Linked DNA regions of Elephas maximus indicus. The protein of the gene in region 1 purifies or fractionates together with the protein of each later gene. This does not show direct contact. Links are inferred from orthologs where the notes say so. Each region holds a gene or a part of one and is shown on either strand. Other genes may lie near its edges. The genes, in order: NEDD1, TUBGCP3, mitotic-spindle organizing protein 2B and CCT7.

Region 1 (7,158 bases):
ACAATTTCTCTATGGCTGTTTGAGAAATGATGCTACTTTCATCACAGAAAGGAAGGGAAATGCAGAGAGTAAGTACATCAGTAAGATAGAGCTGTTAGACGTTTTAACTCCTCCCAATCAACCTTTGCTTCGGCCTTCAATTTCTGCCTATAATTTCTAGACTGGATCCACAAATACCCAAATAAAGATGCAAAAACTTATTCCAAAACCTTCTGGGATTTTTCCCACTATTACCTTATCCTATTTACTTCAATAACAACCTGTTTATAGTAAAAAAAAAATACAACTAATTCTAGAGTCCAGATTCTCGTAGCTAAGTTTTTTTTTTTTTTTTTTTAAATAACAGTGTTTTTCAATGTAGTGGACTCCATCTAAAAAATGAAACCAAATAAAGAATACCAGAGTGCATTTATATGGTATACTGTTCATCAAGTGTCTGTTTTACTTTATCTTTGGTAGCACTGCAAAATACATTTCTCATTATGGGCTGTACTCAAAAGTTTCACTGACACTTTTTTTTTTAAGCTAATAAAAAGGGGCTATAAGAGAAAAAGGATACTATTGCTACTCCAACACATTGAGCTGACTCCATGTGGTGATGTGTGTGGGTTGAATTTATCCACCAATGTCATAGATGAAGCATCCCATATTTTAATATCATCTCCTGATGAAGCAAATCTGAGGTTTTCCTGCATGACTGCACCTACGAACAGTTTAAAACGATAAATTTAAAAAGCAACTGATAGGCAAAAAAAATGTCAAAATGAAGCCTCTAATATAAAACAAGAGTATATAGCCCTACTAATCCACTTATGCCCCATAGGATGCACTCACCATAAGGCAGCTGGAGAAATCTTTTTACAACATAAACCAGATCACATTCTCCTAGTGACCCTTCCTAGCGCTCCTCACAGCAACAATGAAACTCAACACCCTTAGCATGTTTCTCAAGACCCTGAACCCTGTGTACTTCTCTCCTATCACTCTTCCCCCAGTCCATCAGACTCCGGACACACTGGCTTTCATTCTGTCTCATGCAACAAGCCCAGGTCATTCTCACCTTTGCATTTTCTGCTCCCTCTGCTTGGAAAGCTCTTTGCCCAGATTTCTCATGCCACCTATCTCATCATTTAGGCCTCTCCCAAGCACCATGACTTAAGCAGCCCCAGTTATCTTCTATCCCATTACTGTTTCATTTTTTTTTTCCTGGCACTTAATAGTATCAGAAATTCTTATTTGTTCTAATAATGTGTACCTCCTTAAAGAGACTTGAATAAAATAAAGGTTCCTGAGGGCAGGGAGTTTGTCTTGCTTATTACCAAATTCTTTAAGTCCTTGGCACACAGTAGATACTCAACAAATAACTACTGGATAGGTGACTTCCTTACCTTTTAAAAAATGTACGCTATCAAACTGTAACACTCCGAGAGTTCTGAACCCAGTCACCTCAGTTTTTCCAAACAAATCCAAAATTAGCAAATATGGCCAAAGGAGACGTCACTAAGCCCCTACTCAGATTATTTATTCATGACATATAATACAAACTATAATCTAACAGGGTGATTTCCCAATGCACAGCAGTCTACAAGAAAGAGGGCAGGGAAGCTGCTTTAGGCAGGCACTTTAAAGAACAACAAGTAGTAACAGATGACCAGTCACAAAAAAATGTTCAAAATTACCATGGGAGAAAGCAGAAGGGAGAGAACATATATATACAGCCCTCCACACCTTCCTAGTGTGGACAGTCCAAGACTAGCACAGCATTACCGATGTCACAGACAGGCCCCCAAATCATCAATAAAACATCACATTTATAGTCAGTCTACTCCATTGCAGAGGACAAGCATAATAAATTACACAATGCTCTCATTCCCAAGAGACGAAAAAAAAAAGTAGTGTGCTAATAAAAAGGCTAAAACTTTTGTTAACTGGAAAATTTACTGTGATTCATCATGCTTCATGCATCAGATAAATGTGATGCTACTAACAGTTGTTAGTTACCTGCTGAAATGCAGACATACAGGGTTTGGATCTGGTGCCTTAACATGTGCCCTCCTGGTTCCCTAGGCAAGGAACAATGAAGTGCTGGAAAAGCCATCTCTAAACCAGTAAACACAACTGAAAGCCTTCACTACTATAATCTTGCACCATTCCTCCTTAGTGGTGTGACACAGTGGAAAGATCACTAAGGCTCAGAAAAACTGATCAAGCGATCCACCTGAGTTAGGTAGGTGACAGTGTCTTTGGCCATTAAATGTCTATTTCCTTCTCTGAAAGTGGAGCGGGAAACGGAGACCATCTGCCCAACTACATCAGTCTTCTGAAAACTGAGCACATTAAAGGAATAAGCATTACATCAGCCTCTGACAGGGTCCCACTGAAAGTGAGCTGTTAATAGACGGCCCCGATCTGGGGATAGGGACTAACTGAAACAATTCCACTCGGACAGTCAGCTTGAACAAATAAAATTTATCCAACTTTCATTCGCCAAAAACGCATTTTACTTGCAGAACTGCTCAACTGGGGTACCCTGTAAAATGCATTTGCGTGCCTGCTAAACGAGTCATATTTGAAGTTTATAAAAAAGGAAACAAACTTGTGAAGACAAGGTAAACTTTTCGGAGATAGAACATGCCTCAGAGTCGCACCAACCCACCCTAGCTGACCCAGGCGACCACTCGGGCAGGGACTGAAGCCCCCTAAGTCGGAGCGCACGACCCCGGACCGCGACTCATGCGCCCACTCCGGGGCATTTCCGCGCCAATTGCTCCGCCTCGCCCCTACCCAGCAACGGCCTGGAGCGCCGGGCAGGTCAGAGCGCACGGCGCCCAGGGGCCTCCGACCAGCCCCTTGAGGTGGCCGGAGGACAGGTGGGGTTCAAGCGGAACGCAAAGACGTGGCGGCAGCGGCCAGCTGACCCCGGCCCTCCGGGACCTCACCTCTCACCGGCGGCACAACAGAGAACCACTGCCCGCCCCGCTCCAGCGCTAGGCTTCCGGCTCCCGCCTGGATTGTTAAACTTCGGCGGCCGGAAGTCCCGCCTCCAAATTACGTCAAGGGGCGGGGCAGGGCGGGGCGCGGCCCAAAGCAGCGGTTTCTGTTGGTGGGGCTGAGTCAGGGGTGGTACTGCCCTCCGCAAGGGTGGTGATTCTGGCTCCTGAGCGGGGAACTGCTGGGCTGGGCGGCTCCCTACATGTCCCAGGCCTGCACTCCAGCCGCAGGAAGCTGCTGCTTTGTCCGTTATTTGCTCCCTGAGTGCCTACTCTGTGCCAGGCACTGTGCTAGAGTCTGGGCGTACAGTAAGGAGAATAACCTGGGGATACAGAGGTAGCCCTTGGCCTCATGGAGTTGACAGTCTTATATAGTTGGTTGAGGTTAATAAATAATTGCATACATGAAAAGTGAAACTGTGACAAATGCTACAAAGGGTAGGTACAAGATACACTAGAGGGAAATTAACATGAATGTGATTTTAGGAAAGGCTCCCCTGAAGAGGAAACCATGAAGAGCAGATAATGATAAGGCATGCAATTTACCAAAGAGTAGCAATTCTACTGTTAAATTGCAAAACCCATGATCTTTCTCTCACAACAGGCTCCAGGGTCTGTGACTTCAGACCCCATAGGGTTATGAAATGTTTTTAAGGGGATGCTTCTGGGGTGGAAAAAGAGAGAGTTAAACTGAGGGTCCCTTTTAACAGTACTAAAATTTTCTCTAAGAGTGTTGTTGTGGTTATATTGCTGTTAGGTGCCATCTAGTCAGTTCCGACTCATAACCTATTGCAAAACCTGTTGCTGTCGAGTCAATTCTGACTTGTAGCGACCCTACAGGACAGAGTAGAACTGCCCCATAGAGTTTCCAAGGAGCACCTGGTGGTTTCGAACTGCCGACCTTTTGGTTAGCCGCCGTGGCACTTAACCATTATGGCACCAGGGTTTCCTTCTGACTCATAGTGACCCTATATACAGCAGAGCAAAACACTGCCCGGTCTTGCACCATTCTCACAATCGTTGCTATGCTTGAGCCCATTGTTGCAGCCACAGTGTCAATGTCATTAAGGGTTTCTCTCTTTTTCACTGACTCTCTACCAAGCCTGTTGTCCTTCTCCGGGGACAGGTCTCTCCTGATATGTCCAAAGTACGTCTTGCCATCCTTACTTCTGAGAAGCATTCATTCTTCTGCTGGTCCATGGCATGTTCAATATTCTTCACCAACACCATAATTCAAAGACATCAATTCTTAATTGGTCTTCCTCATGCATATGAGGCAATTGAAAATACCATGGCTTGGGTCAGGTGCACCTTGCTCTTCAGACTGACATCTTTGTTTTTCAACACTTTAAAGACATCTTTTGCAGCAGATTTGCCCGATAAAATACGTTATTTGATTTCTTGACGGCTGCTTCCGTGGTGTTGATTGCAGATCCAAGTAAAGTGAAATCTTTGCTGACTTTAAACTCTTCTCCATTTATCATGATGTTACTTATTAGTCCAATTGTGAGGGTTTTTGTTTTCTTTAGGTTGAGGTGGAATCCATACTGAAGTCTGTAGTCTTTGATCTACATCAATAAGTGCCTCAAGTCCTCTTAACTTTCAGCAAGCAAAGTTGTGTCATCTGCAGTCACAGGTTGTTAATGAGTCTTCTTCCAATCCTGATGCTGAATTCTTCATATAGTCCAAACCAAAAAACAAAAACAAACCCATTTGCAATCAAGTAGGTTACAACTCATAGCAACTGTCCTGGATTGAATTGTGTCCCCCCAAAATGTGTGTGAACTTGGCCAGTCTATGGTTCCAAGTATTGTGTGATGGTCCACCATTTTGTCAACTGATGTGATTTCCCTATGTGTTGTAAATCCTACCTCTATGACATTAATGAAATTCCATTTGTGGCAGTTATGTTAATGAGGTAGAACTCAATCTACAAGATTAGATTGTATTTTTTTTTATTAACTTTTATTGAGTTTCAAGTGAACATTTACAAATCAAGTCAGACTGTCACATATAAGTTTACATACACCTTACTCCGTGCTCCCACTTGCTCTCCCCCTAATGAGTCAGCCCTTCCAGTCTCTCCTTTCGTGACAATTTTGCCAGCTTCCAACTTTCTCTATCCTCCCATCCCCCCTCCAGACAGGAGATGCCAACACAGTCTCAAGTGTCCACCTGATATAATTAGCTCACTCTTCATCAGCATCTCTCTCCTACCCACTGTCCAGTCCCTTTCATGTCTGATGTGTTGTCTTCGGGAATGGTTCCTGTCCAGGGCCAACAGAAGGTTTGGGGGCCATGACTGCTGGGATTCCTCTAGTCTCAGTCAGACCATTAAGTATGGTCTTTTTGTGAGAATTTGGGGTCTGCATCCCACTGATCTCCTGCTCCTTCAGGGATTCTCTGTCGTGCTCCCTGTCAGGGCAGTCATCGATTATGGCCAGGCACCAACTAGTTCTTCTGGTCTCAGGATGATGTACGTCTCTGGTTCCTGTGGCCCTTTCTGTCTTTCGGGCTCTTAGTTATCGTGTGACCTTGGTGTTCTTCCTTCTCCTTTACTCCAGGTGGGTTGAGACCAATTGATGCATCTTAGATGGCTGCTTGTTAGCATTTAAGACCCCAGACACCACGTTTCAAAGTGGGATGCAGAATGTTTTCATAATAGAATTATTTTGCCAATTGACTTAGAAGTCCCCTTAAACCATGGTCCCCAAACCCCTGCCCTTGCTCCGCTGACCTTTGAAGCATTCATTTTATCCCGGAAACTTCTTTGCTTTTGGTCCAGTCCAGTTGAGCTGACCTTCCATGTATTGAGTATTGTCCTTCCCTTCATCTAAAGCAGTTCTTATCTACTAATTAATCAGTAAAAAACCCTCTCCCACCCTCCCTCCCTCCCCCCGCAACCACAAATGTATGTGTTCTTCTCAGTTTATACTATTTCTCAAGATCTTATAACAGTGGTCTTATACAATATTTGTCCTTTTGCCTCTGACTAATTTCGCTCAGCATAATGCCTTCCAGGTTCCTCCATGTTATGAAATGTTTCACAGATTTGTCACTGTTCTTTATTGATGCATAGTATTCCATTGTGTGAATATACCACAATTTATTTAACCATTCATCCGTTGATGGACACCTTGGTTGCTTCCAGCTTTTTGCTATTGTAAACAGAGCTGCAATAAACATGGGTGTGCATATATCTGTTTGTGTGAAGGCTCTTATTTCTCTAGGGTATATTCCGAGGAGTGGGATTTCTGGGTTGCATGGTAGTTCTATTTCTAACTGTTTAAGATAACGCCAGATAGATTTCCAAACTGGTTGTACCATTTTACATTCCCACCAGCAGTGTATAAGAGTTCCAATCTCTCCGCAGCCTCTCCAACATTTATTATTTTGTGTTTTTTGGATTAATGCCAGGTTGTTGGAGTGAGATGGAATCTCATCGTAGTTTTAATTTGCATTTCTCTAATGGCTAATGATCGAGAGCATTTTCTCATGTATCCGTTAGCTGCCTGAATATCTTCTTTACTGAAGTGTGTGTTCATGTCCTTTGCCCACTTCTTGATTGGGTTGTTTGTCTTTTTGTGGTTGAGTTTTGACAGAATCATATAGATTTTAGAGATCAGGTGCTGGTCGGAGATGTCATAGCTGAAAATTCTTTCCCAGTCTGTAGGTGGTCTTTTTACTCTTTTGGTGAAGTCTTTAGATGAGCATAGGTGTTTGATTTTTAGGAGCTCCCAGTTATCTGGTTTCTCTTCGTCATTTTGGGGAATGTTTTGTATTCTGTTTATGCCTTGTATTAGGGCTCCTAACGTTGTCCCTATTTTTTCTTCCATGATCTTTATCGTTTTAGTCTTTATGTTTAGGTCTTTGATCCACTTGGGGTTAGTTTTTGTGCATGGTGTGAGGTATGGGTCCTGTTTCATTTTTTTGCAAATGAATATCCAGTTATGCCAGCACCATTTGTTAAAAAGACTATCTTTTCCCCAATTAACTGCCACTGGGCCTTTGTCAAATATCAGCTGCTCATATGTGGATGGGTTTATATCTGGGTTCTCCATTCTGTTCCACTGGTCTATGTGTCTCTTGTTGTACCAGTACCAGGCTGTTTTGACTACTCTGGCTGTGTAATAGGTTCTGAAATCAGGTAGAGTGAGGCCTCCCACTT
Region 2 (7,669 bases), on another chromosome or scaffold:
AAGGAACTGGAGAGTCAAATTTTAAAGCTGTTTTGAAGTTGAGAAATATTCTACCATAAAATGAATGACCTTCAAAATCCAGTCATGTGATCCCATTTAAATGAAATATCTATAATAGGCAAAGGCATAGAGACAGAAAAATAGATTAGTGGTTACTCTTGGGTTGGGGGGTCGTGGTGGGAAGAAGGGCATAGGGAGTTACCGCTCACTAGGTGTAGAACTTCTGTTTGAGGTGATCACTAGGCGTAGAACTTCTGTTTGAGGTGATCACTAGGCGTAGAACTTCTGTCTGAGGTGATCACTAGGCGTAGAAATTCTGTTTGAGGTGATAAAAAGCTTTGGAAACAGACAGTGGCGATGGTTGAACAACACTGTGAATATACCTAATGCCACTGAATTGCACACTTAAAAATGATAAATTTTTTGTTGTATGTATTTAACCTCAATTAAAAAAAAATTTTTAAGGTTAAGGAGGGACTATGGTGAAAAAACATAAACGTCTTAGGGAGCACAAATGGTTTGTATTTGACCACTAACCTAAGGGTTGATGGTTCCCACCCACTTGTATTTGTATTTGACCACTAACCTAAGGGTTGATGGTTCCAACCCACCCACTTCCACCATGGAAGAAAGGCCTGGTGATTTGCTTCTGATAAGATTACAGCCAAGAAAGAACTATGGAGAAGGTCTACTCTGTAGCACATGTGGTTGCCATGAGTTGGAATCAACTCCATGACAACTGATTTTTATGGAGAAAAAAATTAAGTCACGGCAATGGCAACGTTTATGTTGTTTAGCTCCAGTGGAAAAAACGTTAAGGGTCGCTCTGAGTCAGAATCGACTCAACGGCAACAGGTTTCATTTTTTTGGTATAATGAAAACACTGGTATTCAAGCTGTTAAGTCATAACCAGCAATCCTACGGTTATCCCATTTCTCCCATGATTAGGAGCATTAGAGAAGTTAACTAAGAGTGCTGGAGATACACATACAGGAGCTAGAGAGAAAAAGAGAAGACAGCACACAAGCTTATGCCCACCTCAAGACCTTTGTCCCTGTTCCCTCAACCTGGAACACTCCCCAGATACTCACACCACCCTCCTCACTCCAATCAGGCCTCTAAACATCTCCTCAGAGGCCTTCTCTGACCTCCCTCTCTGTGCTTTTACTCTACCATTAGTGATAAGTGTTTTCATCTTAAGACTCATCACTAATTATCATCATATATTTATGTGTTTATCATCTACGTTTTCCACTAGAATGTAAGCTCTATGAGATGTCTATCCTGTCCAGCTCTACCTCACCACGCCTAGCACAGTGCATACTTAGGGTGAACAGTGATGAGATGGAACGTTACAAAATGTAGCAGGAACTATGAAATCGGAGTCCCTTAATATGTTGTTGTTGTCGGGTGCCGTCAAGTCAGTTCCCACTCATAGTGACCTTATGTACAACAGAATGAAACACTGCCTGGCCCTGCACGGTTCTCACAATCGTTGTTACGGTTGAGCCCACTGTTGTAGCCACTGTGTCAATCCATCTCCTTGAAGGTCCTCCTCTTTTTCGCTGACCCTCTATTTAACACAGACACCCAAAAAATTTACCTTTTGCCCCAAAGGTTATCACAGAACATCAAATAAATGGCACACACTAACTGTCATGTGTTATAAGAGAAAGGTCAAAATACAGCGTTAACACTTTATTAAATGTAGTATTTTAAAAGTCTTCCCTCAAAAATTGCACAATTTCTTTTCCACATTGTAGTGCTTAAGGAGTAAGTAACCCAGTTACTTCGATTACCGCAAAATTCTCTCATGATGCATCTAATTCTCCTCTCCCCCATGCCAAGAGATGACATATTGGACCATTTTTAAAAATACCTCGGGTACAGAAGAGCTTTACATATTGCATAGGATTGGTTTTTGGTTTTGCTTCTTAGTAGCAACATCCGCTGTGTGAACTTTCCTGAATAGTTTTATATAAAATCCAACCTTCAACCCTTTACTATTAAAAAAAAAAAAAAAAAGGTAGCTGGTAGTCACAAGTACCCCTTCACGTAACAACGTTACACTTTCCTAAGAGAAAGGGGAAAACGACGTGGCCGCCCCCGTGGCGTTGCGACCCGAGGAGCTAACGTCGCCCTGCACCGCCCTCACAGCGTGTGACTGGGAACCGGGTCTACCCTTCTCCCGCCGCGTCAGCAAAAACCCAAATAATAAACCCAAATGAAGCGCCCGGGCTCCCGTCACGTCAGAAGGGGGGATGAGCGGGCGGCCCGGCAGCCGTCTCCGAGTCCTCAGCTCCCGGGGCTCCGAGCCCTCAGCTCCCGGGGCTCCGAGCCCTCAGCTCCCGGGGCTCCGAGCCCTCAGCTCCGGGGCTCCGAGCCCTCAGCTCCCGGGGCTCCGAGCCCTCAGCCCCGACACCCTCCGCCCCGCTGCCGGCAGACTCCGAGCTCCGCCAGGAAGGCAGCGGCCTCCCGCCCCGGCCTCCCCGGCCTCCCGCCCCGGCCTCCCCGCCCCGCGGCCCCGCTCCCGAGCCCGGGCGCCCTCACCTTCGCTCTTGCCCAGAATCCGGCAGCACAGGTTCTGCAGCAGAACGTTGGGCGACTTCTGGTCCGCGACCGCCATCGTCGCCCCGGCTGTGGAAACGGGCGTCGCCGGGGAGCCTGAGGGAGGTGGGCGCGCGGGCCCAGCCGCCGGGGAGCCTGAGGGAGGTGGGCGCGCGGGCCCAGCCGCCGGGGAGCCTGAGGAAGCTGCCCCCACGGCGCACCCGCCGGCCGCCGCCGCCGCCTCCTCAGGCCGGAGCGCGCTCCCGGTCTCCGCCGCGATCCGGCCACTGCTGCGCGCAGGGACCCGCGTACCGGCCGCAGCCGTAGCCCCGCGCCGCGCTCTAGCTCCCGACCTCCTTCCCTGTCAGGTTAAGGAACCGAGACGGCGGGCAGCAACGGCGCCATTTTAACAGAACCCGCCGAAACTGAGGCCAGCCCCCACAATGCCCTTCTTCTTCCCACCGCTTCAGGGCTTCCGAGTGCAATGGCCTAAAGGTTCCCCCTCTCCCGTCTCCGCACGCTTCCCCACCACCACCACCAAGCGGGACGGGAACGTTCCGGAGAACAAACTGCTCCATGCTACCTCCTACTGTGGTAACGTCCGCAGTCAGCACTGCTGCTGGGTACGTCCGGGAACGTTTTCTAAACATCTCAAAACGTTCCCCAGAGGCTCATCATGGTTGACTGTCTTGCTATGAGAGCCCTTGGCGGCCCGTAGCGCGTTTATACGCCATAATTTCGGAGTTTTTAAAAACTATATTGGTTTGAGATGTACTTTTAGTGGAAGTTGATTGACAGGAGTACAAGGGTTTTAATTTTTTTTACATTTAGTTTTTTTTTTTTTTTTTAGCATTTGAGCGTTGTGCTCAAAGTGGGCACTTTTTATACGTAGAATATGTGGCTGCTCAGGGCATAGTTTTAATGACACTGACTCACCAACCCCAACCCTCCATCAGCTTCTTTACCTCAGTCCCATAAAACTGTGATATCAGTGGAAGAATAAGAATCAGCCAGATGAAGACTCAAAGAAGAGGAAAAGGCCAAAGAAGAAAAAGATTAATGAATACAGCAAATACATCATATAAGTTCAATGATAGGAGTTAACTCCGAGTGTACCAGGTACTGAAAACTGCCTGACCCAGGAAAAAAAAACTAGAAAAAAATGACTCAATCCGCACATCACATCACCTGGTTAAGCGCATGGGATCCTGCCATCAGTGGGCCTGTGCAGTTCATGTGGCTATGGTAGATTAGACCAGGAATGGGTACTTGTCACAAGCTGGACCGATCAAAGTTTCTTTCCAGGAAATTTGGAAATCAGATCGAAAGAATTTGTAACCCAGGATAGCCTGACCTATAATACGGAAAAAGAAGCACTTTCCAACTATCAAGTGAATTTAGGAGGACAGAAAACAAAAAGAGGACTTACCAGAAAAGAACTCCAACCCCATCCAAAAAAAGACCCCCTGAGGCTCCCTCTTTGAAATCACAGGTGACATACGGTACCATGTTCTTGTTGTTAGCTGCCATTGAGTCGTCCATGACTCATGGTGACCCCATACACAACAGAACAAAATGCTGCCCAGCCCTGCATCGTCCCCATGATGAGTTGTGGATCAGGTCGTTGTGATCCACAAGGTTTTTATTGGCTGATTTTTCAGAAGTAGATTGCTGGGCCTTTCTTCCTAGTCTGTCTTAGTCTGGAAGCTCTGATGAAATCTGTTCAACATCGTAACAACACACAAGCCTCCGCTGACAGATGGCTAGTGGCTGCATGTGAGAGGCACTGACTGGAAATGAACCTGTGTCTCCCATATGGAAGGTAAGAACTCTACCACTGGATCACAAATGCCCCCCTATGATACCACAGTGGTAGCCTATTGAAGGCCCCAGACTCTGGAGAACCTTTTTGCTTCACTATACACTTTAACACCTGTCCTCTTCTACCATTTGAGTTTGAGGACTAGGCGAGTCATAAGCGTCACAGGAAAGAACCCGTAGGAGGCTCTTAGTGAGGCAATTGGAAGGCCAAAACTTGACATCAAGATCAAAACTGCAGTTTCAGATAGTAGCCTATGCCCATGGCTCTCCCCCTTTACTTCCCAGCCCTGCTGCTGTATTTGCCTGGGCTTCTGAGGTAAATCATGACAGCAGCATCACTGGGTGCAAACCACCCATGTATATGGGGGAATTTAGAAAGCCACATGCGTGCGGAGGCAAGACACAAGCTCAAAAAAATACCTAAGAAGATTATACACTTTGACCTCAGACAGATTCCTAATGATGTGGATTGAATTGTGTCCCCCACCCCAAAAATATGTATGAAAGTCCTAATCTCTGTAAATATGACCCTGTTTGGAAATAGGAATTTTTTTATGTTAATAAGCTCATAACAGATTATGTGGGCCCTAAACCTAATCACTTCTGAGTCAAAACTTTTGAGTCATACTGTCAAAAACCTAAGACAATGAGAGAATCTTAAAAGTAGCAAGAAAGAAACAAGTCATCATATACAAGAGATCCACAATAAGATTAACATCTGATTTCTCATCAGAAACCACGGAGACCAGATGGTGGTGGGCTAACATATTTGCAGCTTCCCCCCGCCAAGATCAGGAACAAGACAAGGATATCCACTTTTACTACTACTATTCAACATCGTACTGGAAGTTCTAGACAGAGCAATTAGGCAAGAAAAAGAAACACAAGCACTCCGAATGAGAAAGAAAGAAGTAAAACTACCCACATTCACAGATGACAGAGACTTAAATGTAAAGCCAAACACTACAAAATTTCTAAAACAAAGCATAGGAGAAAAATGTTTGTGAACATGAGTTACAAGAATTCATCATAAGAATTAAGAACTTCTGTTTTTAAGAAGGAAACCCTGGTGGGGTAGTGGTTAAGTGCTGCAGCTGCTAACCAAAAGATCTGCAGTTTGAATCCACCAGGTGCTCCTTGGAAACTCTGTGGGGCAGTTCTACTCTGTCCTGTAGGCTCACAATGAGTCTGAATCAACTCGACAGCAATGGGTATGGGGTATGGTATGGTTTTTGAGAATACAGTGTTGACAAATAAAAACTACGATGGAATACTATCTCATCCCAACAAGACTAGCATTAATCCAAAAAACACAAATAGTAAATGTTGGAGAGGTTGTAGAGAGACTGGAACACTTGTATATTGCTGGTGGGAATGTAAAATGGTACAACCAGTTTGGAAATCAATTTGGTGCTTCCTTAAAAAACTAGACATAGAAGTACCATATGATCCAGCAATGCCACTCCTTGGAATATATCCTAGAGAAATAAAGCCCTCACACAAATAGATATATGCACGCCCATGTTCATTGCAGCATGGTTTACAATAGCAAAGAGATGGAAACAACCAAGGTGCCTGTCTTAGTCATCTAGTGTTGCCACAAGTGGATGGCTTTAACAAAGAAAAATGTATTCTCTTGCTTTCTAGTAGGCTACAATCCAAATTCAGGACATAAGGTCCAGGGGAAGGCTTTCTCTCTCTGTCAGCTCTGGAGGAAGGTCCTTGTGATGCATCAGGCTTCCCTTGGTCTGTCTGGGAGCATCTCAGGTCCACAGGACACAGTCTGTTCCCGGCACTGTTTCTCGGTGGTATGAGGTGCCCAACTCTCTGCTTGCTTCCATTCCCTTTTTATCTCTTGAGAAAGAAAAGGTGGTGCAGGCCGCACCCCAGGGAAACTCCCTTTATGTTGGATCAGGGATGTGACCTAGGTAAGGGTGGTGCTACAATCCCACCCTAACCATTTTTAACATAAAATTATAATCACAAAATGGAGGACAACCACACAATGTTGTAAATCATGGAGCAGCCAAATTGATACACACATTTTTGAGGGGACATAATTCAATCCATGACAGTGCCCATCAATAGATGAATGGATAATCAAATTATGGTATATTCATACGATGGAATAGTATGCAATGATAAAGAACAATGATGAATCCTTGAAACATCTCATAACATGGAGGAATCTGGAATGCATTACACTGAGTGAAATTAGTCACAAAAGGACAAATATTGTATGAGACCACTATTATAAGAACTCAAGAAAAGGTTGAAATACAGAAGAAAACATTCTTTGATAGTTAAAAGGGTGGGGGGGGGGAAGAAGCATTCACTAATTAGATTAAAAAAAAAGAAAAAATTAGATAGTAGATAACAATTATTTTAGGTGAAGGGAAGCTCAGCACACAATACAGGGGAAGTCAGAACTACTGGACTAAACAAAAGCTAAGAAGTTTCCTGAATACAACCAAACAATTCAAGGGATAGAGTAGCAGGGGCGGGGGTCTGGGGACCATGGTTTCAGGGGACATCTTGGTCAATTGTCACAACAAAGTGTATTAAGAAAACGTTCTGCTTCCCACTTTGGTGAGTGACGTCTGGGGTCTTAAAAGCTAGCAAGTGGCCATGTAAGATGCATCAGTTGGTCTCGATACACCTTGAGCCCAGGAGAATGAAGAATACCAAAGACACAGGAAAATAAGAGCCTAAGAGACAGAAAAAGGACCACATAAACCAGAGACTCCATCAGCCTGAGACCAGAAGAACTAGATGGTGCCTGGCTACCACCAATGACTGCCCTGACAGGGAACACAACAGAGAATCCCTGATGGAGCAGGAAGACAGTGTGATTCAGAACTCAGATTCTAGTAAAAAGACCAGACTTACTGGTCTGACTGAAACTGGAGGGACCCCAGAGGCCATGGCCCTCAGACTGTCTGTTAACCCAAAACTAAAACTATTCCCAAAGCCAACACTTCAGACAAAGATTGGACTGGACTAGAAAACATAAAATGATACTAGTGAGGAGTGTGCTTTCTAGCTCAAGTAGACGCATGAGACTATGTGGGCAGCTCCTGCCTGGAGAGGAGATGAGAAGGCAGAGGGGCACAGGAGCTGGTTGAATGGACTCAGGAAATACAGAGTGGAGAGGAGGAGTGTGCTGTCACGTTATAGGGAGAGCAAAAGGGTTCACATAACAATGTGTGTATAAGTTTTTGTATGAGAAACTGACTGGAATTATAAACTTTCACTTAAAGCACAATTAAAAAAAAAGAATACAGTGTTGACAGAATGAAAA
Region 3 (6,932 bases), on another chromosome or scaffold:
TCCCTAGATCCAATGGCCCCCAAGCCTTGCTGACACAACCCCTGATATGCTTCTTGACATTCCACCCTCCTCCTGTCACCCCAGGTCAGGCCTGGCTCCCCCAGAGGCCGGGAGGTGCTGCATTCCCTGCCCTGCCGTCCCACATTTGGCAGGGAGAGTCCCTGGAGGGTTACAGGGTGACATCTGCCACTCCAGCTGGTACTGAAAGCCTGCCTAGTGGCCCTGCTGACCATCCCTCCCCCAGCTTAACCCCTGAACTCCAGCAGAGCTGCCCAGGACTGGACTTGGCCCCACTGCCACCCCTGTCTCTTTGTCCATCCTGCCTCCCTACTGTGCCCAGCACCCAGGTTTACAAAGCATAAGTACTCTGTCTCCTCCAAGAAGTAGGATGCCCTGGCCCAAGGCAATGTTCTGCTCCCTCATCGAAGCCTGGCAATCCACCCACTCCTGCTCCTATCATCGGCCTTCCCTGCACCTCCCTGGGCCTGAGCAGTGAGGCACAGGAGGGTGGCTGCTGGTCTGTGGGGAGGGCCTCAAGAAGGGAGGTGTGGGAGACAGCCATGCCCTGAGTTTCCGGTGGCACCTGCAATAGCGAGGTGGGGATGCGGGGAGGGGCATGAGGGAGGCACAACACCAGCACCCTAGGGGACCTCAGGCCCTCACCACCCCCTGGCTCTAGGACCCCAGTCTCATCACACCACCAGGCCTGGAATGTAGCCTGGCTCAGACACCAGGCAGGAAAGGGGACTCGCAAGCACAAGTCAGTCATGCACCACTGCCAGGGAAATTGGGGGACGGACCAGCATCTCCACCTCACCCTCCGGGAGGTTCCCCGAGGCCTAGGAGCCTGTCCAGGTGACAGCTTCCGAGAGGCTGAAGCATGTCCAGGCCAAAGGCTGTGCTTGCCACAGCACCCATGCTGTCCTCAGGCCTCTCCCTGCTTCTCTGCCTGTTGTCATCCCTTGGAGTCTCACCTAGCTAACACCTAGCGGGATTAGCTAGGAGGTGTGGGGGTGCAGGTCCCTCCCCCTAACACCTGTCTGAATGCATGGCCTACAAGTTCTGCAGGTCATCTCTAACCTTGAGATCGTGCCCTCTGTGTCTACACGGTGACACGGCTGGCTCGTGGTACTGCCCTTGCAGCTTGAGGCTGATCTGGCCGGCTGGGGCCACAGCCGTTTCCACGGAAATGAGAGCACCAACCCCCAGAGATAAGCCAATAAACGCAACCTGCAAAAGGAGAGAACAGGCAGCAAGAGAACCGGAGGGAACCAGGGGGCCCCGGAGAGAGAGGCGAGAGCGTGGCAGCCGGGCCGTGGAGCAGAACCGGAGAGGCCGCGGGAAAGGAGGGCCTTGCAGGGGGGCTACTGTTCTTGGCAGAGAGAAGGGAGGCCTCTGGAGGTCGGAGAGAGACACAAAGAGAGCAGACAGAGCATGGTCAGTGTGGAGGCTGGAGCGCACGTGCCCAGGGCCTGTTAGGACGGGCGCAGGCACCCAGGGCCCTGCACTCCCACCACCCAGACACCAGCCCCTTCCCAGGACGCCCGTGCAGTGCCCACAGGCCTCTGGGCAGGGAGGAAGCCCTGGACCCCTGTCACTTGCCTGGGAAGTTCTACTGAGTCTCATTGAGTCTCCAATGGCCACGGGGGGCAGAAACGACACACACGGAGGGTGATTTGGAGCAGGCACTGTGGTTCCAGCACCTATGCACCCCACAGTCACCTCTGCATCCCCGCAAGCTGGGAGTGCTGCATGTTCTAGAAAAGCTAGGGGCCACTGTAGGCCCCCACCCTGCAGTCCAGACCCCTAGGAAGGGCCTGGGCTGGAGTGCGGCATGAGCAAGGGGGTGCCAGGAAAGCTTCTGCCTGCCCCACCCCCCGAGGACAGGGACCAAAACCATCTTGTCCCCCGTGTTTGTGAAATGAAGGTATAGAGAAGAGGCGGGAAGAGTGCTGGGGATGCAAAGGGTCCAGAGGAGCGCTGGCCTGCTTGGGCTGCCCTGGGGCACCCTCCCCGAGCACCCCAGATTTGGAGGTGCCCCCTCGAGGGCAGCAGCGATCACGGAGCAAGCCCTTGCAATGGGCCCTGCGGCTCCAGAAGCAAAACCAACAGAAAGGTCTGGCCGCTCCGCGCCAAGCCTCTACGCACGTCCTGCCCTCTCCCTGTGCCGGCGGCCCCAGCTCTGACCTCGAGTCTCAGGCACGCTGGCCGCGGGCAGAGGAAGGGCTGCAGGGTCCGCGGGCTCGCTCGCCAGCCTCTGCCCGGCACACATGGACTGGAGCATCTGGAAGACAGCAAGCGGGGCCACGTTCAGCTTCAGCAGGTCGACCAGGATCCTGGCGAGAACAAAAAAGCGGGCGCAGTGAGCCCACTAGCCGGGGCCGGGCCTGCTCGGCGCGCCCGCAGGACCCCATCCCTACAGTGGCCGCCAGTTAAGGGCGGGACTCCTCCAGGCCAGCGGAGCCGGGGTCGGCCGAGCGCCAAGCCTCCCGCACCCGCTCACTTGAAAACGTCGGGGTCGATGGCGCCGCCCGCCGCTTGCGCCAGCTCGTAGAGCTCCATCTCCTCGGCGCTCAGCACCTTCTTTCGCCGCAGCACCAGCTTCTGCAGGGCTGCCTCCAGCCCCGCCGGCGGCCCCTGCCCCGGCCCGGAGCCCGGCGCCGCCATCAGCGCGGCGGGAACTGCGCGCGCACTGGGCGCCCGCGCCTCGGCCCCGCCTTCCGCGCCACAGCGCCCCCTCCTGGCCGTTTCCGCCGCCAAACCTGCGAGGGCAGGGGGGCCGGGACTCCGTCCGTGCCGCCATCCGACCCCGTAGCATTTATTAAGCGCCTATTGTGCATCGGCTAGGGGGTCCCAAGATGAACCGCCCGGATCCGCTCCTGGGCGATTCCGGGCTAGACTGCGTTGGTCGTGCTTGTTCGAGTATCAGCGCTCAGCCCAGTGTCGAGCACATAGTAGGCGCTCAATAAACGCTTGCTACGTCTTCTGCGCCACATGTAATCGTTAGGTGCCTGTTCACCACTAGGAGGCGCTCCTCGGTGGGCCTAATAAGCGACCTCTGCTTATGCGCACGCGCACTCCTGGCCAGGGAGATGGCGCACGAGCTCCCGCGTATAGGGCTCAAACGCCCCCATTGCGCACGCGCATTCCGTGGCGGACGCCCACAAACTCAGGAGGCCTTACCTCTGCGCACGCGCATTTTAAGTCAGGTTCCTGAAGGGGTAGCAGCGCGTTTCCCGCCTGGCCAGGGCTGGGGGTGTAACATCACGCGCAGTTTGATGACGACACTTAGGCGCTGGGTTTCGGAACGGCGGCGTTGGGCCCTGAATCGAACGGCGCTGTGGGCGCCCCAGGTGAGTGGTGGGAGCCGCCCGCGAGACATCCCTGCACCGTGGCGGCTTCCTGACGTCCCTGCCGAGGCCCACCGGGCGTCGCCGCCCCTCCATGAGCCCCAGGACTCGGGCTGGATCCCAGCGTCTCTGCACCGGCCGGGGCGGGCGGGGGCGGCCTAGGGTCGGGGCTGCACCTCCATGTCACTTATTCGGGCGGCTCGCACACCTGTCCCGGTAGGTGCTCGGTTAACATTCGTTTAACGAGTTCAAGGAAGGAGAGCTTCGAGTTAAAGCTGTGCCTTGTGGCTCAGGGAGTGGTGTGGGAGGAAGACTGGGTTTGGGTCTCAGCCCGACCCTTCCTTCCTATGTGACTCGACTGCTCCAAGCTTCAGTTCTCCTCTGCAACATGAGGGCCCGATGCCCACTTCACAGGACAGTTGTGAGCGACAAACGGGAGGATGCCGCTGCTTCGCCTAGGGCGGGAGCAGCTACCGGCCTCAGAACAAACCCCACAGCAGGGTGTGAAGCAGCTCCTGAAGAAAGTGGGTGTTTAAGGGGCGGGATAAAACAAACGCTTGTTGCACAGTCGCGGAGGGGTGTGACTGGGAGGAGCGTGGATGCTGCACGCTGGGAGGACAGAGTGTGCGGGGAAACAGCTTCTTGGAAAGATCTCTGTTTGGGGCTTATTCCTTCAGCTTCCCCTGAGCAGGGTGGTGCTTTCACTTCGTGTGGAAGGCTCTACCCTTTTCAAACAGTCCGGGATTTTATGCTGCCTTGATCGTTTTGGAGTAGTAAACAGTGTTTTCTTGATCAAATGGTTTATGACTGAGGCGTTTTATTTTAATTCATTCTTAAACCTGAAACTGGTAGCTAGCTAGAACTGAGAAACGAAAAAGCCTGGAAGTGTTCATATTGCTAAGACCCCAGCTGCCTACACCGCTTCCTTGTACCCAGCCTCTCTGCCTCCAAAAGCCGTCAAGGGTACTCGGGCAGGCTTCCCCCCTACTCAGTCGAAGTCTGGGTTTTTTTCAGTTTCTGTCCTGGGTGAGTGAGATTTTCTGATGGCTCATTCAAAGGCTACCTTGGCAGAGCTTGCCCTTCCCTCCTTTGGTTTATTCCCGTAAAGCACAGGTAATATAGACAGTGTTTAACTTTGTCTCTGAGAGATTTGGAAGGTCTGTGTATTCGAATCTGTGCTTAGCCATTTACTAGCTGGTGTGGGTAAGTGACTCAACCCCTTTGTCCCTCTGTTTGCTAATCTGTACTGACCTCATACGGTGGTTGTGAGGATGTATTTGCTGCTGCTGTGTGGCAGGCTTAGCTTCAAATAGCACCCTTTTAGTATCTCAAAGTTACGTAGTCAGAAGTACAAGTGGGCTTGGCTGGGTTCTCTGCTTAGGGCTTTATAAGACTTTGTTCTTACCTGGAGGCTCTGGGGAAGAATCTGCTTCCAAGCTCATTAGGTTGCTGGCAGAATTCAGTATCTTTCAGTTGTAGAACTACAGTCACCATTTCCTTGCTGGCTGTCAGCTGGAGGCTGCTCTCTGCTCCAAAATCTGCCTGCATTCCTTGTTAGGTGGCTTCCTCCACCTTCAAAGTAGCTATGGCATATCGAATCCTTCTCATGCTTGGAATTTTCTGGCTTCCACTCTGTTACCAGCTGGAGAAAACGCTCTGCTCCGGGATCACGCTCTGTCCACCTGGGTAATCTCTGTATCTAAGGTCAATTGACTTGAGCCTTTACTTACATCTGCAAATTCCCCATGAACTTGGGTCTGAAGCTGGCCACCCTGAACTGCATAAGAATGACATTTCTGTAAAACACGGGATGTGGTGGTGCAGTGTGTGTTGGGTTATACAGACATTCTCATGGGCATTGCGAATGTACATAATCTGTTGTGTAGTAAATGTTGAGATCTCATTTTTGTTTTTTCACAGTGGTTTCCTAAGACGGCCATCTTTGACTCTCCACGGGAACCTGCCATGGCGTTCCCTCACTTGCAGCAGCCCAGTTTCCTACTGGTGAGTATCAACGGCCATGTGAGCAAAGGAACTTAAGTATTCTTTCCATTGACAGAAAGAACTCTCCAGTGGTTGTTTCCTTAGGGCCCAGTGATGGAAATAACACTGGACTCAGAGTTAGAATCTTTAAGCTTGATGCTGTCTGCTGTTGGTGTAGGACCTTGGGGTTCCTCAAACTCTGAGCTCTGGTGTTGATGAATTGATTTAAATTCCTATTCTTCCTGTTCCCTGGGCATGGGGAAGAGTAAGCAAGGAGGATGGACGTCAGAATTTTCATGCCCTTAAATAATTACACAAATATGAGATGGTTTGATAAAGCTAACTATCACCATCGAAGGAGCCTCTGGGTGATGTAAACGGCTAATGCATTCAAATGCTAACCATAAGGTTGGAGGTTCACGGCCACCCAGGGGTGCCTTGGAAGAAAGGCCTGGCCATCTGCTTTCGAAAAATCAGTCATCGAAAACCCTCTGGAGCACAGTTCTAGTCAGACACACATGGGGTAACTGTGAGTCAGAGTCAACTCGATGGCAACTGGTTGGTTGTCAGTGAAAGACGAACCCTGCTGTGCTGGGGGAACTGGAGCTGAGCTTTGAGTATTAAGCGTGATGCCAAGAAGTTGGTGTGAGACAGTACTGGTGATGAAGGGTGAACCCTATTTTCCTATTTTGTTTCTAATTTTAGTTCCCAGGAGATACTTTCTGTAAACACTTGTTTGGAAGGGCATTCTTCCCTGGTGACCAAGGCCTAAACAGCCCAGGTTTCCATCTCTGATCGAGACCCATGGTCCATCCTCTTTTAGAGTTGGATAGGGCTTTAGCTATCCTTGGGTCAAAGGCCTTGTGGTTAAAATCTTGGCTTTCCTTCCCGGTCTCAGTCCATTTGCAGAGAGGCCTTTCCTTCACGCGGTTAAGATGCCACCTGCTCCCCTCATCCCACAACTTTATGTTTAGTTCCTTAGTGCTCGTCCTGAATGTTTTCTGGCTACTACATTGCTTTGGTGGTTAGTGTCGACTGTTGGCTGGAACTGTCTGTAGTTTTAGCCAGTTCTTTACTTAGTTATCTACTATATAAGGGATAATGCAGTAAAGAAAGTATCTGCCGATGCCTTCATGTTCTTGGCCATTTTCACCGCTGTCACATTTATGTAAATTCAAAGGCAGTCAGCCGCGTGGGAAATTTCCAATTTGTGTTTACAAACCCTGAATTCTCCAGGGCCTGGGGCGGGGGCAGGGGCTCCATACACCGTAACTGCCCTCTCCTGCCCCTGGAGCTAAGCCTTTTCTTGGGGATCGTGCAGGAGTCAGTTTTGTCCTGATGGTATGCAGTGCCCTGAGGTCACTGGTGATGCCTCAGGGAGGCACTGGGAAGCAAGCCTGAGAGCTGCTGGTCGAGAATGCATCAGGCTGCAGCCTCACTGCTGGTGGCCTCTTCTAGGCCAGTTGGGCAGCATGACCTGATGAGTGGAGGTATGATGAGCAGGCTGGTGGTTGTGTGTCTAGCTCCTGCCTATTGCTTGGCTTTCTGTTTTGCCTTAAGTCAGAATATCAGCAAAAGCCACAAAGTGAACACACTTAT
Region 4 (7,343 bases), on another chromosome or scaffold:
CTTTAATGTATGAGCTTCCCAAAGGTAAGCACTATAGCAATCTCCATTTGTAGAACGGCTAGATTTGGCCACATGTGAAACAACATTCAGCAGCTTTTGGTGCTGAAATTTCAACCATTACATAAACTAGAGGGGACACTGGTAATTCAGTGATAGAATTCTTGCCTTTTACACACCCAGAAACCACCCAGTGTCGTCGAGTCGATTCACACAAGAGACCCAAATTCAATTCTTGCCAATGTACCTCACGTATGCAGAAGATGTGGCAGTCTGCTTCCGTAAAGATTTATAGCCTTGGAAATCTTATAGGGTCACTATGAGTCAGAATCAACTCAGTGGCAGGGCGTTTGGTTTTTCTGGTTTGCACCCCATGTGCAGTCGCCACCAGTTTGTCACTGGAGGCTTGCGTGTTGCTACGATGCTGAACAGGTTTCAGCAGAGCTCCCAGATGAAGAGACTAGGAAGAAAGGCCTGCCAATCTACTACTACTAAAAATCAGCAAAGAAAACCCTATGGATTTTAACAGGCGTTTTCTTCCACTGCGCACGACATCACCATGAGTCAGGGCCCAACTTGACAAAAGCCAACAACAACATCATATACTAGAAAGTGCTTGATACAAGCCATGAAATAAGATAGGACTGGCTTATTTCATTAAAGAGTTGGCAGTATGGTGACACTAAATACACTGAGAATTCAATTCTTAAGTACAAAGCAAGGACTTGGAAGCAGCTGACCGCATGTTCTCCAAGTTCCCCATGCTTTGTAGTCCCAACAGAAACGACAGTCTGGGTAGAGAGATCCTATGGAGACGTAGCAGAGCTGGACTGAGGCAAGCCTTGTCAAGCAGGACCAGTCCTTTTCTATCATATTCCCAGGGCGATGCAGTGGTTAAGAGCTACAGCTGCTAACCATAAGGTCAGCAGCTCGAATCCACCAGGCATTCCTTGGAAACTCTATGGGGCAGTTCTACTCTGCCCTACAGGGTCGCTATGAGTCAGAATCGACTTGACCACAACGGGTTTGGTTTTTTTGTTGTTGTTTTCTTATTACCCTAGAAGACTTTTAGAATATCAGAGAACAATCTGATGACAGCAAGGAGGATTCTCGGTGAAAGTTTCACATTACAAAAGGAGGAGACATCTATCTAAACAACCAAAAGAGCAGGGAAATAGGGTCAATCTGGCAATGATGAGTAGGGGTCCATTCAGGAAAAACCCAAGTGCAGTGGTCTGAAGTCCCCTGGTGAAGGGTTTAATTATCAGACAGAAGAACCTGAGTTCTGATTCCCAGTTCTCTGAATACCAACCTAAACTCTTATGGTAGCCTTGGCAGTAGGATAGACTACAGGGAGGAAAAGGAAGTAAGCAACCACCTGGCTGAGTAATAGCTAACATTTACTGAGTGCTTACTACATGCCAGCCATGGCTCTAAGCACTTTACATACATTAATTCACTTAATTCTATACAATACTCTACTCATTGCTATCTCTTCTGACTGACTGAGGACCAGAAATTAAGTAACATGTTCCAAGTCACACAGCTAGTAAATGGGAGAGTTGAGTTATAAACCTAGACATTCAATATGGCTCCAGAGCCCTGACTCTAAACAGTTATTCTATGCTGCCTCTGTCCAGAAAGTGAAGACCATGTCAAGAATAGGTAGTGTTGAAGGTGGATTGAAGAAGGATGGTGCCAGAGGTCCAAAGTGGGGAGGGTTGCAGATAAACTACAGGTTCCTTGTATCTTGGGCACAACCTGGGTTCATGGGGCATTCAGTAGCAGAAGGAACACCTCAAAGGTGTCAGTCATACATCTACCAGGGCAGGGAGAAGCGGCAGGGAGCCAGAAAAGAGGACGAGTCAGACCGAGAGGCCAAAATGAATGAGAAAACTGCCAGGTGCACAGGGGAACAATAACTTAAGAGTTTTGCCAGCAATAACCTCCTTAAGAGCTGACCTCGTCCAACAGCAACTCAGTAGATAACTACCTAAGTTTGGGAAACAGGGAAGGAACCTGCAGCTCCGAGATAGAGAAAAGGGATGTTGTGGGAGGGGGAGAGCTCCACGATCCCCCAGTCCTCTATTCTAAGGAAAAGACCCAGAGTTAAGGGCCAACTAGAAAAGTCTAGTCCAATGTCGCACCAAGAGGTCGGGGGTCACAGCCAGGGTCTTCCAACCTCTGAGTGCGGTGTTCCCGTCTACCCTGCCCATTCTGGCTAAAGAGCTGCACCTCCTGCGACAAGCTGAGCCTGGTACATTCAATGGGCATTAAATATACGTTTATTTAAGGAATGAATGAGTGTGTGAATGAATGAAAATACGAGCGGAGGAGTATTTATGCTGTCTCAATTTATGCTGCACCGGATAGGCTGGGGGACAGTGAGCTACCATAAAGTGAAACCCTGGGCTCGGCCAAATGTAAGGTCCCCATGCTGCCTCTGCCCGTTCTAGGAACCACATAGCGTCTTTACATCCAGCATTCTCAGGGGCAAGCCAGCTTCCCAGCCGCCAACCGCAGAAGCACGCCCAACTGGCACTCCTTTCACACAAATCTCGATGGGGGACCCCAAAAACGGGGTGCCCGGGTCCACGACGCGGGCTCGTGGCCCCGAAGCACCCTGGGACTTGTAGTCCCCAGCCGATCGGCCAGAGCCTCCCCTGGAGCCCTACGCAGCCCTCGCCAACGGCCCCTGCTCGGTGCCCTAACCGAGCCAGGCCGCTGCGGGCCGGGGTCGCCCACAGGCTGCGGTCGGGTGGACACAGAGCTGGTACGCAGGAGAGGGCTTTAAGGGATGGGTCCCGGCCAGACGGTGCCAGCCACGGGCAGGATGGCAGCGGATGGCGACGGATGCGCGGGACTCCACTCACCATCATTTTGGAAGCTTATTTAATGGCCCGCTCCTCCTCCTCTCTTCTCTGGGTCCCGGCCGTCCGGCAACCCCACAATGCCTCGCGCCAAAGAAGTTCGCAGAACCTTCGTCAAGGCGTTGTGCCGGGAGAGGAAGGGGACGGGCCACTTCCGCCACTCTATGGTTCTTCTACCACAGAGTCGGCAAGGCTAGAAGGGCCAGAGGCTGGGCTTCGGAAGGAGGTGTAGGTCCCGCTACCCGAGGCCTTAATTACCGAAGCTTCTCCGGATTCCGGTCGTGCGTTTTTCTTCTCGGTGGTGCAGGCTTCTTACTCCGCCCCCGTCACCTACTAACCCTGATTCCGCCCCGATCCCCCACTGGACACTAGACCAAGGAATGCAATAAACGCGTGCATTTATTGAATGCTGTGAAACTGGCCTATGCTAAGTAAGCGCTTTTCGTAAATGAGCTCAATCCTAACAACCCTATTGCCTGGGTACTATTATTATACCTAGGGGCCGTGGTGTTGCAGTGGTTAAGCGTTTGGCTGCTAACCAAAAGGCCGGCAGTTCGAGTCCACTAGCCGCTCCCTGGAAACGCTGCCAGGCAGTTCTATTCTGCCTTATAGGGTCGCTAGCTATGAGTCGGAATCGACTCAACAACGGGCTTGGTTCTTTTGTTTGTCTTATTATTATACCTCTTTTCCAGATGAAGGAACTGAAGCTCAGAGAGGTTAAGAAATGGTGTCCAAAGTCACAGTTGCACACAGTGTGACAGTGAGGCGGGGTGAGAACCTGGCCCCAATACTCGTTTTCTGGCTCTGCACTGGCCAAAGCCTTACGGCTGCAGATCAGGCCGCGTTCCCAACGCCTACGAATAGTGAGCGCGCAAGAAATGATGCAACTGGGCATAAGACTGGCGGGCCTTGAACGCCAAGCCGAGAACGGTGGGCCACCTGGGCGCTAGACAAATGCCTTCCCGCGGGGTGGGGGCGTGGGACGGATTGGGGGAAGGAAAGCAAAGCAGAGTGCTCACGCCTGGGAGAAGGCAAATAAATTGTGAAGCGGCCACGGAGAGGATCCGGCCGAGATGGCAGGAACTAACCGCCAGGGCTTTTAGGCCGCTGAAGCGAGTCATCCGGGGTGCCCACCCCCAATTCTCCCTCCTCCCGGACCGGCCCACCAGTCGGTGAAGCCTTGGAGAGTCATATCCAAACTGAGAAGTGCTGGGGCGGGGCTGGGGCGAGGGCTGGCAATTGGTGTTCACAGCTTAAGCCAATCAGCCTTCAGCCCCACTTCTCTTGGCCAATGGGAAGTAGGCTAAGGCGCAGAGGCGGAAAGCGTGGCTACATGAGCAGGCATGAGAGCCAATCGGCAACAGGCCTCGTTCCGGTTAGCCAACAAGCCACGAGAGCGGGTCTGTGGGCGGGAGGCCGGAGCAGCTCTCCGGCTGAAGTCCGGCGAGGGACGCGCGGCGGGGCGCCGGGGGAAAACGCAGAGCCGGGCAGGGCCCTGGAAATGGTCCCTGGGGCCGCGGGCTGGTGTTGTCTCGTGCTCTGGTTCCCCGCGTGCGTCGCGGCCCACGGTGAGCAACGGGCGGGACTGCGCTGTGGGGCAGGCCGTCCAGCTTGCGCGCGTCTCCGGCTGGGGGCCACGGGTCACCTTGGGGACCCCGCGAGTTTGAGGCAGGGCAGGTGCGGGGACAGATGGCTGGCTGGTTGGGTGCTGGTCCCCAGGGACATGCGCTAGGCGCAGCCCAAGCCTAGACTCTGAGTCCTCAGCCCCCCACGTTGAAGCAGGACCCAGGTGGCCGAGGGTGGTGACCAGGACGAGGCACAAGGGACACCTGGAAAATCCTACAAGCTGGAGATATGTATGTGAGCACTCATACACATAAAAATATAATAAAAAATTATACAGCATATAATCCTACATCTGGGCTCTCACACAAGCACACACAATCTGTTAGCACCTACACAAGCACATGTACGTATACAGCCATGTATACATGTATGTATATATTTGTATATGTCGTTAGGTGCCGTGGAGTCGGTTCCAGCTCATAACCCTATATATGTGTGTATGTGTGTGTATACATATATATAAACCCCCCAGTGCCGTCGAGTCGATTCCGACTCGTATATATACATACACACATATACTCACACTTAATTTACACAGATAAACAGATGCAGAGGCTAGGCAAGGAGGTGGGGTGGGGAGCTTAGCTTTAATTCAGGAAGGCCTCCTGGAAGTGCATCTGTATTGGATGGAGAGTCCCCATTCTTGGGTCAAAACGCTATTGCCCAGTGCCAAGCCAACAGAGCGCTACCTGGTGGCAGTGATGTGGGCAGTAGGCGAGGACAACTAGTCACAATCAGCCCAAAGTCTGGCACATGGTAGTGCATGGTAATTTGTTGGCTAGCTGATCCATGGCTAAGGAAACCAGGGACTCGAGGCCAGGTAAAATATTAAACTTTGGTGCTGAAAAGAAGTTCCCACACCCCAGGAAAGTCTGTTTGCTCTGGCAATTCTCTTCCTCAGTGTGTTGGAGCCAGAAATAGTTGCTCATTCGTCACCCTTTGTTGAGCACCCGCTATATCTTAGCCCCTGTGTTAGACACTGGGGATGCAGCAATGAATATGAATACAATTACAAATTTTGTTGAAAACGTCAGTGGAGAAGAAGTACGAGGGGAACTCAATTCGAATGGGTGTTAGGAGAAGGCAGTCACAGTGCAGAAAGTTTCTCTGAGAAAGTGAAATTTAAGCTGTGACCCAAAGGATGCATAGGAGTGAGGCAGGTAAATACGTGGGGTGAGTGAAGGTAGGGAGCCTTCTAGGTAGAGAGAACAACTTGGAGGAAGACCTGGAGAAGTGAAGAGCTGGGATGGTCAAGAAACTGAAAGGAGGGCAGCGTAGTTTGAATATAGTAAGGAGGAGATGAGCTTGCAGTAGTGTCCGGGGGCCAGATCAAGCAGTGTCTTGTAGGCTGTTAAGACTTAAGATTCGATTTTAAGTCCAAAGGGAAGTCATTGAAGTCCTGGGGATGACAACATGGTCGTGTTTATGTGTTAAGATGGCTATTGTTTGGAGAATGGACCTTAGGAAGCAAGAGTGGAGGCAAACAAAAGTTAAGAAGCTGGAACAGTCAGGGCAATAGGGTGGGTGGGCTAGGGGAATGGCAGTGGGAACAGAGAGTCAATTTTAAGTTTTAGTGAGAATTGTTTACCGGGGCCACGACATCTCCACCTTGAAACTCCCAGGCCCACTTCAGAGCAAACAAGGATTAACTCCCCAGAGAGAGAACACTAGAACAGCAGCTATAAATCTCTGGGGTTACTAATGTTATCTGCCTCAACTCTATCCTCTACAGGGCAAAGACCGTCTATCTCACCCTCCTGGGGAGACCAGTCAGCCCAGGTTCAGACCCAGAGTCCACGGTCTGAACCTGAACTAACTTGTTCCCCGGAAGCTTCTCACCTGTACTCTTTGTCCTTCAGGCTTACGTATCAATGACTATTTGTACTTCCAAGTGCTGAGTCCTGGGGACATTCGATACATCTTCACAGCCACACCTGCCAAGGACTTTGGTGGTATCTTTGTAAGTTTCCGGAGGCCCTCTCCATTTTGACGTTCTTCCTCCCCTCCTCACTGAGCTGGGTGTCCCTCTCATCCCTTCAACCAGTACCTGAGTGCCGCCACGGCCCAGTGCTGAGCCGGGGAATGGATCAGAACCCAGCTGTGCCCTCCAGGGGCTGCAGTGCAGGGAGGAAATGCTTCCAGCTCCTCCCGTGGGTCTAGCACAGACCTGGGCACCATGGAGGGACAGGCTGTCATGACATAGTGAGAAACCAAAGGCACCAGCTTCCTCTGCCAGCTCTACCTCTGAACTATGTGATTTAAGGCAAGTCACTTCCCCTCTCTGGGTCCACACAAACTCCCCTATCTCCCAGAAAGGCAGGGTTGGGTAGGACAATCATCTGGGCCTTCGTGAGAATTACAATGCTCCAGTTCCCTGCACACAGAAACCAGTTCATGTTTCCTTCACACTCTACGGGAAACCAATTGGATGGGATGTCAGCGCAGTCAGAAAGCAGCCATCTTTTCACACTCTATTCTACCTGAATGTCTTTCAGCACACAAGGTATGAGCAGATCCACCTTGTCCCTGCCGAACCCCCAGAGGCCTGTGGGGAACTCAGCAACGGTTTCTTCATCCAGGACCAAATCGCTCTGGTGGAGAGGGGGTAAGGAGCGGGCAGACATGGACACAAGGGGAGAGCAGGCATAGGGCAGATTTGGGGGTCATAGTTGTTAGTGATGCTTTGAAACAGCTTTTCTGGGGACGAGTCATTGTTTTAAAGGTGTTTAAAACTATCTTAAGATGATTCCGGCCCTTTGGCTATTTACCTACTAGCCATTATAAAAAATCCTCCATGGTCCTTCTTCCACCCACACAGGTGATGGTCTGGAAAGGGGTAGCTAGGACCCT

The links.
Region 2: the proteins of NEDD1 (region 1) and TUBGCP3 purify together in Homo sapiens (affinity purification with mass spectrometry; 3 studies listed by BioGRID and IntAct, with this or other methods). This does not show direct contact. The link is inferred for Elephas maximus indicus from reciprocal best matches to the Homo sapiens genes NEDD1 and TUBGCP3.
Region 3: the proteins of NEDD1 (region 1) and mitotic-spindle organizing protein 2B purify together in Homo sapiens (affinity purification with mass spectrometry; 3 studies listed by BioGRID and IntAct, with this or other methods). This does not show direct contact. The link is inferred for Elephas maximus indicus from reciprocal best matches to the Homo sapiens genes NEDD1 and MZT2B.
Region 4: the proteins of NEDD1 (region 1) and CCT7 purify together in Homo sapiens (affinity purification with mass spectrometry; 3 studies listed by BioGRID and IntAct, counting the BioPlex papers as one, with this or other methods). This does not show direct contact. The link is inferred for Elephas maximus indicus from reciprocal best matches to the Homo sapiens genes NEDD1 and CCT7.

What each region holds. Positions count from the first base shown.
Region 1 is NC_064822.1:162,446,244-162,453,401, reverse strand, and holds the start of NEDD1 (protein NEDD1), read right to left. Parts: upstream 3,011-7,158; 5' UTR 2,940-3,010; intron 704-2,939; 5' UTR 696-703; coding exon 560-695; intron 1-559. UniProt on the Homo sapiens protein: Required for mitosis progression. Promotes the nucleation of microtubules from the spindle.
Region 2 is NC_064841.1:78,744,069-78,751,737, forward strand, and holds the start of TUBGCP3 (gamma-tubulin complex component 3), read right to left. Parts: upstream 3,014-7,669; 5' UTR 2,627-3,013; coding exon 2,551-2,626; intron 1-2,550. UniProt on the Homo sapiens protein: Component of the gamma-tubulin ring complex (gTuRC) which mediates microtubule nucleation.
Region 3 is NC_064840.1:21,597,365-21,604,296, forward strand, and holds the start of mitotic-spindle organizing protein 2B, read right to left. Parts: upstream 3,010-6,932; 5' UTR 2,668-3,009; coding exon 2,504-2,667; intron 2,337-2,503; coding exon 2,188-2,336; intron 1,396-2,187; coding exon 1,231-1,395; intron 1-1,230. Other genes in the region: SMPD4 (sphingomyelin phosphodiesterase 4), read left to right, coding at 3,279-3,353, 5,271-5,354. UniProt on the Homo sapiens protein: Required for the recruitment and the assembly of the gamma-tubulin ring complex (gTuRC) at the centrosome.
Region 4 is NC_064835.1:62,607,015-62,614,357, forward strand, and holds the start of CCT7 (T-complex protein 1 subunit eta), read right to left. Parts: upstream 3,014-7,343; 5' UTR 2,877-3,013; coding exon 2,871-2,876; intron 1-2,870. Other genes in the region: PRADC1 (protease-associated domain-containing protein 1), read left to right, coding at 4,369-4,435, 6,353-6,453, 6,989-7,098. UniProt on the Homo sapiens protein: Component of the chaperonin-containing T-complex (TRiC), a molecular chaperone complex that assists the folding of actin, tubulin and other proteins upon ATP hydrolysis.